3 linked regions of the Kluyveromyces lactis genome follow. The protein of the gene in region 2 interacts with the protein of the main gene of each other region in a pairwise test. Links are inferred from orthologs where the notes say so. Each region holds a gene or a part of one and is shown on either strand. Other genes may lie near its edges.

Region 1 (2,143 bases), on a different chromosome or scaffold from region 2:
GATCACCTCATCCGTATTCGTAGATTGCGTATTCTTCAACAATGTCTGTAGTAATTTCCCATTCTTTTCATCTAATTGCAAAGTGCTATCTAACTCTATACCATTTCCTACAGTTCCTGCTGATTTTAACGCCAGTATCAGTTCTTCCAGATATTTTACCCTAGGATTATCCATTTCCTATACGCTGAGAAGATATTACTCTTACACGGCAACTGCACTCTCAATCACACTCACCTAGGACGCCCTAACGAGAGAAAACTGTGTTTCTTTCATAGTCCAGCGTTTGTTTTTGGTTAGTTTCATTATTTATAATTTGACTTATATACAAATTTTGGTATCAATAAGGAATCTCAACACATACATAAATGTGGTATGTACATATGCTAAACACTTCTCCAGAAGTACAATTCAGGCGTCTTAAGCCATTTGCAAGTTTGACAACAGAAGACTAACTTACACAAAGTGTGCAGCCAGGAATTGCAGATCTTTGGGGAAACATTATTCTCTCTTATTAACAGTGTAACGCGTAAAACTGGAATACGATTTTCTTATTATTTCATTTTAAAGTCTTTAGTGGGTAGTTCATATATTTTGACTTTGTTGGCCTGCAGCAATTGATTTTTGCTGCTGCTGTGCGGCAGCATGCGCCGCACGTATTTCAGCCTCGTAATTCAGTGGTCTCTTAAATAGTAAAATATGTGGTTCAGGCGCATGGCATTCGTAATGTTCCCATCCCAGAGATTGTGTAATTCCTAACCCTCTCCATTCGTCTTCTGTTAAGATTCGCAAAGTACCAGTGTCTCCGTTGAAATAATCAGAAGGTATCACTTTTAGCATGGCCTTGGGAAGCATTACATGTCTGTATTCGTGTGTATCGTCGGAGTATCTTGGTGAATAATGAATGCTATCTTGAAATTCGAGAACTCTCGTTCTTTCCTGATCAGAAAGCTTTCTGCCTTGGAAAGCGTGCGTCGAATACATTGTTAGATTCGATCACAACTTAAGCTATACAATTGGAGTGTTAATTAACCCTAGACTACTGATGCTGGATCTTATTCGCTCATCACATATCATGTCTTTAGCATAACTGAAAAGATCTTAGGTATTAAAATAGTATTGTTTACAAAAAAAAAATGAAAATAAATATTGTTTAGGACAGAAACCAGATCCGTCACTATTGATGGTCAGAGATGAGGTAAAAGAATAGGACACAGAGCTATCACTGGTGTAGTGTCTACCATAATTACGGTATAGCTGAAGAAGGGTTTACCAATAAACGTTTGACTGTTGTTGTGAAACTGTTCTGCGTGCTGCGTTTGTGTGTTTGTATGTGCTGAAATGGCAAGTCGAAGTAATGTTTTCGTCGGGATCAAACCTCACAGTGAACATTCCGCTGATGTTCTTGGAACTTCTTCTACAGATAAAAGAGTAGAGAATTATGACTATGTGCTGCTGCCCTTGACAAATACCAGATACAAGGATGCCATGAAGGCCAAGTTTGAAGATTTTCGAGATCACGGTCATGGATGGAATGAAGAACTAAAGTTAGATCCTCCTCAATTGCAAGAGCTGGGGGTATTGCCATCTAATGGAAATGTTTCATATATTGGATTGGTCTCTTACTTTTTAGAGCTCGAGAGCCATGATGCTGATGTCCGGACTTTATCTTTGCAAGTGTTGGAGCACGAATTGCATTATGCAAATTTCGTTGGAATCAGACAGGTTATCTTAGCTCCTCCTAAAAAGTTACACACGCTTCATTACTACGCACAATCTTTGTGTACAGTATTTGATACTTTTAAAGAAGCGTGTCCGACAATATCTATTTCGTTACCTTTGTTTGAAGATTCAGATCCACTTTCGACTTGGGAACTGTGGAACACGATCAGGAAAATGTGCGGATACGAGCCTAAATTGACTGTATCTCTAGCTCTACCTAGACAGAAGACTCCCAGTTTTGTGCTAAACAGATGGCTGAGCGAACCTGTCACATGTCTTTTGATCTCTGCATCCATATTCACAACAAATCAATACAATTACCCTGTATTGAATAAATTTAATCAGCATTTAATCACTGAGTTCCAACGTGTTAACGGTAACGCATCAACATTTGGCGAACTAGCTATCGTTTTACATGGTATGG
Region 2 (3,472 bases):
ATAGCAATTGTCATCTTTAAAATGGTGCACAGAGAAAACACAAACAGCATTTTGCAGCTGGAATTCACCAACGATCGCGCGTATGAATAGTCTTAACTTCGCTAGGGAGAAAAACAGCCAGTGCCAGGAATAGGGCCAGAGCCAGGTCCTGTGTTTGCACTCATGCTACGGCCTGATTTCTTTATTGATCGAACACTTCCTAATAAGGAAAAAGGTAAACAACTATGCATATTTACGTTTTAGGAAAAATGTAAATAAACCGATGGACTTTTCACAAAAGCTCATCGCTTTGTAATTTGGTGCTACCTTTCTGACAAAGAAGCATCAACTGACTATATGAGCAACTGAGCGGATTGGGGGGATAGGGCATCACTGCGCATACTCCATTGCAGTATTCCTTTGGGTACTCCATGCTTGTGGTTACATTTTTCTTTTGGTTATTATTACAGAATGACGACAACGTTCGGTGACTGAGGGAATCCTCATTAGATTCTGTGAAGGGGAGGGGCGTCTGCTATGAAGCCATAAATCAACGTAGAGGTTCTTTGTAGACATTTAAAATTTCTTTTGTGCTACTTCTCCCGACAGTTGAAGCATCTGTAGTGAGGTATTCTTCTTTATCTTAGAAGTAAGAAGTTTTTGCTGCGTCTGTCTCAGTGACGATAGAGAAAAAGTAGGCTTTAAGCGAACGATCACAAAAGCTTCTCACGGTTCTTAAAGCTTTTTCGGTGAATCTTTCCATACAACTGGTGAAGAATTTGTATTGTTCCGATTGGAGTGAGCCTGTTTTTTCTTTTTGAACTTTTCTGGTTTGTTGTCCCTTGCTGTTTCTTTATTATTGTTTTGTTACTTCCTCAATAGGTTAGTTTCCAAATCGAATCTGAATCTGATCCAAGCTTTTCAGATTCATTATTTCAATAAAGAGGTTTTAGCTTTGAACAATCCCAGTCCATAGTTGACAATAGTCGATAGGAAACATACTACCAAGAGTATCGCCAGCGGTGAAGACATTGCTATCGGTAGAGACAGTGATAGCAGAAAGCAAGTTGATCAAGAGATCCTACGTCTTGCTCCTAAAAAGAATCGCAGAGTTTTTTTATACTGGAATCAAGATCTGTTGGTATAACTCTTAATTATTGATCTCCTGCAGAACTCATTGGGAAATTGGTAATAGAATAGTTGACTGAGTTGATTGCTAAAGCAGGTACTAAAGAAAGTGCAATTGTCTTTCTTTCCGATCTCTTCTTTTTAACAGAAACTAAATTAAAGACAATTCTGTCAAAGCATTATGTCAAAGGATAAATATGATAGAAGCTTGAAAAACTTGAACATGCTAAGAAGACCAGTGTTAAACAATGTTACTAATACTACTGAATCTACGTTCGGTAAAGTTTTGAGGCAGGCTAAATCAAGACTGCAGAATAGCAGGACGAATAATCTTCCCCAGGGTACCGCAAACTCGTATTCGAACACAAAACCGGCACCATTGAGAGATGACATAATGGTACCTGAGGATAAGGAGAATTACAATCCGCTAGCTAAGATTGATGAAAGAGAGGAGCTGGATTCTAATCTAGTTCATAATCACAAATCCCTGGGTACACAAAAGCATGTTACGATCGATGAAAGACAAGAAATAATTGGATATTCACATCTGGATACTGAAAAGTCTGCTCCATCATCATCAACATACAGCAGTGAGCATACGGAAAATGACGGCGTTCACGACGTCAACCCAAATGTTCAGCGTTCAGATAATGAAGCTGATTTCAAGATGCAAACCACAAACGCTTTTCACGAAAACGTCAACGATGGCAGTGACGCAACAGATGATGCCAGTAGTGGAAGTAAGAGTAGCAATGAATGCCCTGCTGTTAACGTCGGAAACAGCCTTGCGCCTATGCCAATTGACGAAAATGCTAACAATAGCGCTAGCAGTGTCGAATTGAGAGCAAAGCAACTTCAGGTTGAGGATTCGAAAAAGAGACCAATAAGCACTGTCGTTGAACAAACGTTACCTAAGAAATTTAAAGTATGTGAAAAGGGTAAAGAATATGAATGGGAAGATCTTGATGAAGAAGATATCAATGATCCCTTCATGGTAAGCGAATATGTTACAGATATCTTTGAATATTTGCACAGATTGGAAATGATGACTTTGCCTAACAGACACGAACTATTCAAACATGCCAACATTCAGCAAAATAGGGATATTTTAGTTAACTGGATGGTAAAGATTCATAACAAGTTTGGCCTACTGCCGGAAACCTTATATTTGGCGTTGAATATCATGGATAGATTCCTTTGCAAAGAGTTAGTACAGCTGGAAAAACTACAATTAGTAGGAACAGCGTGCTTATTCATCGCTTCGAAATATGAAGAAGTGTATAGCCCCAGTGTGAAACACTTCGCTTACGAAACGGATGGTGCATGCGATGAAGAAGAAATCAAAGAAGGAGAGAAATTTATTCTAAAAACGTTAGAGTTCAATCTCAATTATCCAAATCCCATGAATTTCCTAAGAAGGATATCTAAGGCAGATGACTATGATATACAATCCAGAACATTGGCGAAATATTTGCTTGAGATATCCATAGTTGACTTCAAATTCATTGGGATTCTACCCTCATTGTGCGCCGCAGCATCTATGTTCTTATCGAGAAAGATGTTAGGAAAGGGCCAATGGGATGGAAATCTAATACACTATAGTGGAGGATATACCAAAGACGAACTAGCTCCCGTGTGTAATATGGTTATGGAATATTTGGTCCAGCCTGTTGTACATGATGAATTGTTTAAGAAATACGCTTCGAGAAGATTTATGAAAGCATCGGTAATTTCTAGACAATGGGCAAAGAAAGTCATGTCCCACAACTATGATATAATGACACTACATGATTCAGAATAAATCACGAGATTCGATCATTTAAAGAAACCATGATCCTTCCGGCCTTAATTACTGAGTATGATTGGCCATTGTAGTGCCAATATGAAATGTTATCGAGGGACTTTTTCCTATAAGAAGAAATTCGAATCACGGGGTCAGAGATATGGAATCAATCTGATCCAATACTCAATTAGTTTCTGGGAAGTGGAATAGTACATGTTGCGCGTTAAAGGGAGGCATTCTAAAAGCATACTAAACCCAAAAAAAAAAAAAAACGATAACTATACTAATACTAATCATAATAGAAAACAAACATTGTAATAATTAATCTAGCCAACCCACATGTGTCAATGTGTTTTCCATTCAACAGATAAAATGAGGATTTAGACCTTAGTGAACCCTTTACTTCAATTCACTTTTAATATTTCACCTGCTCAAAAACTCAGAAAGAGTTCTCTCAGGATCATCAGTATCAGCATTATGTTGCAATCATAGGTATACCCACCCCTTACCCTTTAAAGTATAACCACTTCAAATAATTTACTTCTTATGTACACTTAGCATGTTTCTGAACTAATTTCAATT
Region 3 (2,528 bases), about 820 kb from region 2:
GAAACCGAAAACCAAAGGGTCCGTGGTCTTACCACTGCATTATCCACATTATCAAAATCCAATATGGTGACCTTAGATGTGATCACAACCCATTTCGAGAGACTAATTGAAATCATTAGAATGAATAAATCTGAAGAAAGTCAAGAACTTGCAGAAAATTTACGGGATGCCATTAGCCAAGAGTTTGCAAATTGCCTAATACATCCAATTCTGCCAACAGCTAATGAACTTGGATACAAAGTATTTGAAGATTTGTTGAGGCATAGAAAGAAAATCTTCAAAGAACTCAAGAGAAAAGGATCAAATCCATCATCCAGGGGTTGATGAAGGGTTTTTGTTAATATATATGACTTTTACATAGAATTAACACTCTGCGACGATCAAAAACGACAATCTTATTTCACTGAAATATTCTACGAAAATTATCGTAAGTATTGTATTTATAAATATGATGTTTTAGCAGTTTTTGTTATGTAGTGTTACAGGGGAATTCCATACCCTTCTTTCCTTATGAATTGTGTCGGTACCGTTAGCTATAGTTAAAAATAAAAAATAAAAACCCGTTTTATTCATGTGTCTTACCTACCCATCATGCCTATCTATTTCTTCAGCAAAGAGTCTCGTAGGTTTAAACCTTTGTTTCTCATCGTCAGTCAAATGTCTTTTAGAAACGACCTTCCCTCCTTTATTCACATAAGTGATTGTATCTTCCAAATCAGGGTCCTCAAGTAGCATCTTCTCTTTACGTTCTTTTCGCAGTTTTTCATCAGCAATATTATTCGAAAGAAATGGATTCTCTAAATTACTATGTTGGTTGACTGCCGTAGGTTGTTGTTCAATATGAATATTTTCTTCTTCGTTTTCTGATTGCGATGTATTCAGACCAGACTCGTTATGCCATTTTCTAGCAAGTTCAAAGGTGGTGATCTTGTCACTTGGAGTTCCTGGCTCTTGTTTAGCAAGTTTGAATTTGTTATTGACAGCATACTCATCATTGATATTATAACTTTGAACGCCTTTGAAAGACTCCATTATACCGGTTCTCTTTGGTGGTAGCAAAGTCCTGTTGTTTGAAGTTTCTTCTACTTGGAAATCCGATCCGAACAAGACCCTACTGACAGGTTGTAACTTCTCCTGGTCAAACTCTATCCTGCGTTTCGTATGTTTGTTCTTATGTGGGGTATATTCAGGTGTCTTTAATGCCGGGCATGGACTTGTTAAATTCATGGGTCTAGTAGGTGGCTGCAATCTATCCTTTACTCTAACTGTCCCCGGAGTAACCATGCCAGAGGAATCAGATTCCGCGGCTCGCTCTGGAGTTGCGAGCAGCAAATCTGTCTTATTTGATCTCTTATTCCTAGAACTTGGAGGGGTAGCTGGGGTCATTATTATGGAAATAAGAGTGTAATGCGTAGAATGCAAAAAAAAAAGAGGATAAACTCTAGTATTACCAATTGAAAGCTATTGATATTGTTTTCAGATGTATCGGTGTGTTGATGAGATCTAAATGAAAAGTAGCAAAGATGGTATAGAATGTATACTATACCGATGATATCCCTTTTTCTGTCTAAAACAAAACGGACTGAAAATCTGGCAACTTATAATGAAGCAAAAAGCAGAGTAGGTTGAAACCAGTTTCCAGTAACCTCACTATCGTCAAGAAGGAATTTGATATGAAGAGACTCTGATTCGATTACTTAGGTGCGTATGCAACCGCTCTATGCTGGATATGGTTCGCTGTTAAACTATCTTTATATATAGATATATGTGAGACTCAAAACCAGCATCTTTAATTTTTTTTTTAATGTGAACCACTAATAATATTGAACCAGCAACAATTTAGCAGTCATACTTGAGTAGCAGTAAATAACTTCTAAACAAGGATTGCGTCTGTGAGCAGTGGAACCACTGGAAACTAAGAAAGTTTATGGAACATTCATACGCATTGGGATAATTCAGATCGATCAGAATTGACGATTGACGCTCAACGTTTGACTCAGCATTTTCCTGTATTTCTCAAGAGTATTCCTTTCTTGAATCTTTTGGATCTTCATTAGCGATCAAGAATTTTTGCGATCACAACAGGGCTAAGATGGTATGTTTCGCTGGAGCGCTGCTCTAATTGTATTTCTACATTTATAGACACGCGTCGCGTATGTGTTACTTATTTACTAACTTACCTTAATTATTGTTTCCCACGATATCACTAGAACGCGTTGTATAATCATGCCATCAAGCAGCGAAGTCTTCTAAATAAAGACTTGGGTAAATTTGAGAAAGAGCTCGTAACAGCGCCGATCTCTTTGCAAGGGGCGATCGCCACAACCCTTGTTTCTTTCGAGAAAACGCTTCATCAGTACAAGGAACAATACAAGCAATATCAAATAAATAGTTCAGATGACAACGACGAAACTAAACTAAAGTATGAGACGAGACTTCAGACCTTAACACAGGATTACGAAGATGCAAAAGAGAAATTTACCGAATTGAAGCAAAAATACTCAGAAATTAATGCGAGAGATCAGTTG

The links.
Region 1: the proteins of KLLA0_D15543g (region 2) and CKS1 interact in binary tests that used the Saccharomyces cerevisiae proteins (3 or more experiments, as listed by UniProt). The link is inferred for Kluyveromyces lactis from reciprocal best matches to the Saccharomyces cerevisiae genes CLB2 and CKS1.
Region 3: the proteins of KLLA0_D15543g (region 2) and SIC1 interact in a two-hybrid assay, tested with the Saccharomyces cerevisiae proteins (2 studies listed by BioGRID, with this or other methods). The link is inferred for Kluyveromyces lactis from reciprocal best matches to the Saccharomyces cerevisiae genes CLB2 and SIC1.

What each region holds. Positions count from the first base shown.
Region 1 is NC_006039.1:1,374,570-1,376,712, forward strand, and holds CKS1 (cyclin-dependent protein kinase regulatory subunit CKS1), read right to left. Parts: upstream 982-2,143; coding exon 583-981; downstream 1-582. Other genes in the region: protein kinase MEC1, read right to left, coding at 1-174; HSL7 (protein arginine N-methyltransferase), read left to right, coding at 1,339-2,143. UniProt on the Saccharomyces cerevisiae protein: Binds to the catalytic subunit of the cyclin dependent kinase (CDC28) and is essential for its biological function.
Region 2 is NC_006040.1:1,312,472-1,315,943, forward strand, and holds KLLA0_D15543g (cyclin family protein), read left to right. Parts: upstream 1-1,288; coding exon 1,289-2,908; downstream 2,909-3,472. UniProt on the Saccharomyces cerevisiae protein: Essential for the control of the cell cycle at the G2/M (mitosis) transition. Interacts with the CDC2 protein kinase to form MPF. G2/M cyclins accumulate steadily during G2 and are abruptly destroyed at mitosis.
Region 3 is NC_006040.1:497,205-499,732, reverse strand, and holds SIC1 (cyclin-dependent protein serine/threonine kinase inhibiting protein SIC1), read right to left. Parts: upstream 1,387-2,528; coding exon 583-1,386; downstream 1-582. Other genes in the region: GTPase-activating protein RGD2, read left to right, coding at 1-324; BOS1 (Bos1p), read left to right, coding at 2,093-2,095, 2,211-2,528. UniProt on the Saccharomyces cerevisiae protein: Substrate and inhibitor of the cyclin-dependent protein kinase CDC28. Its activity could be important for faithful segregation of chromosomes to daughter cells. It acts in response to a signal from a post-start checkpoint.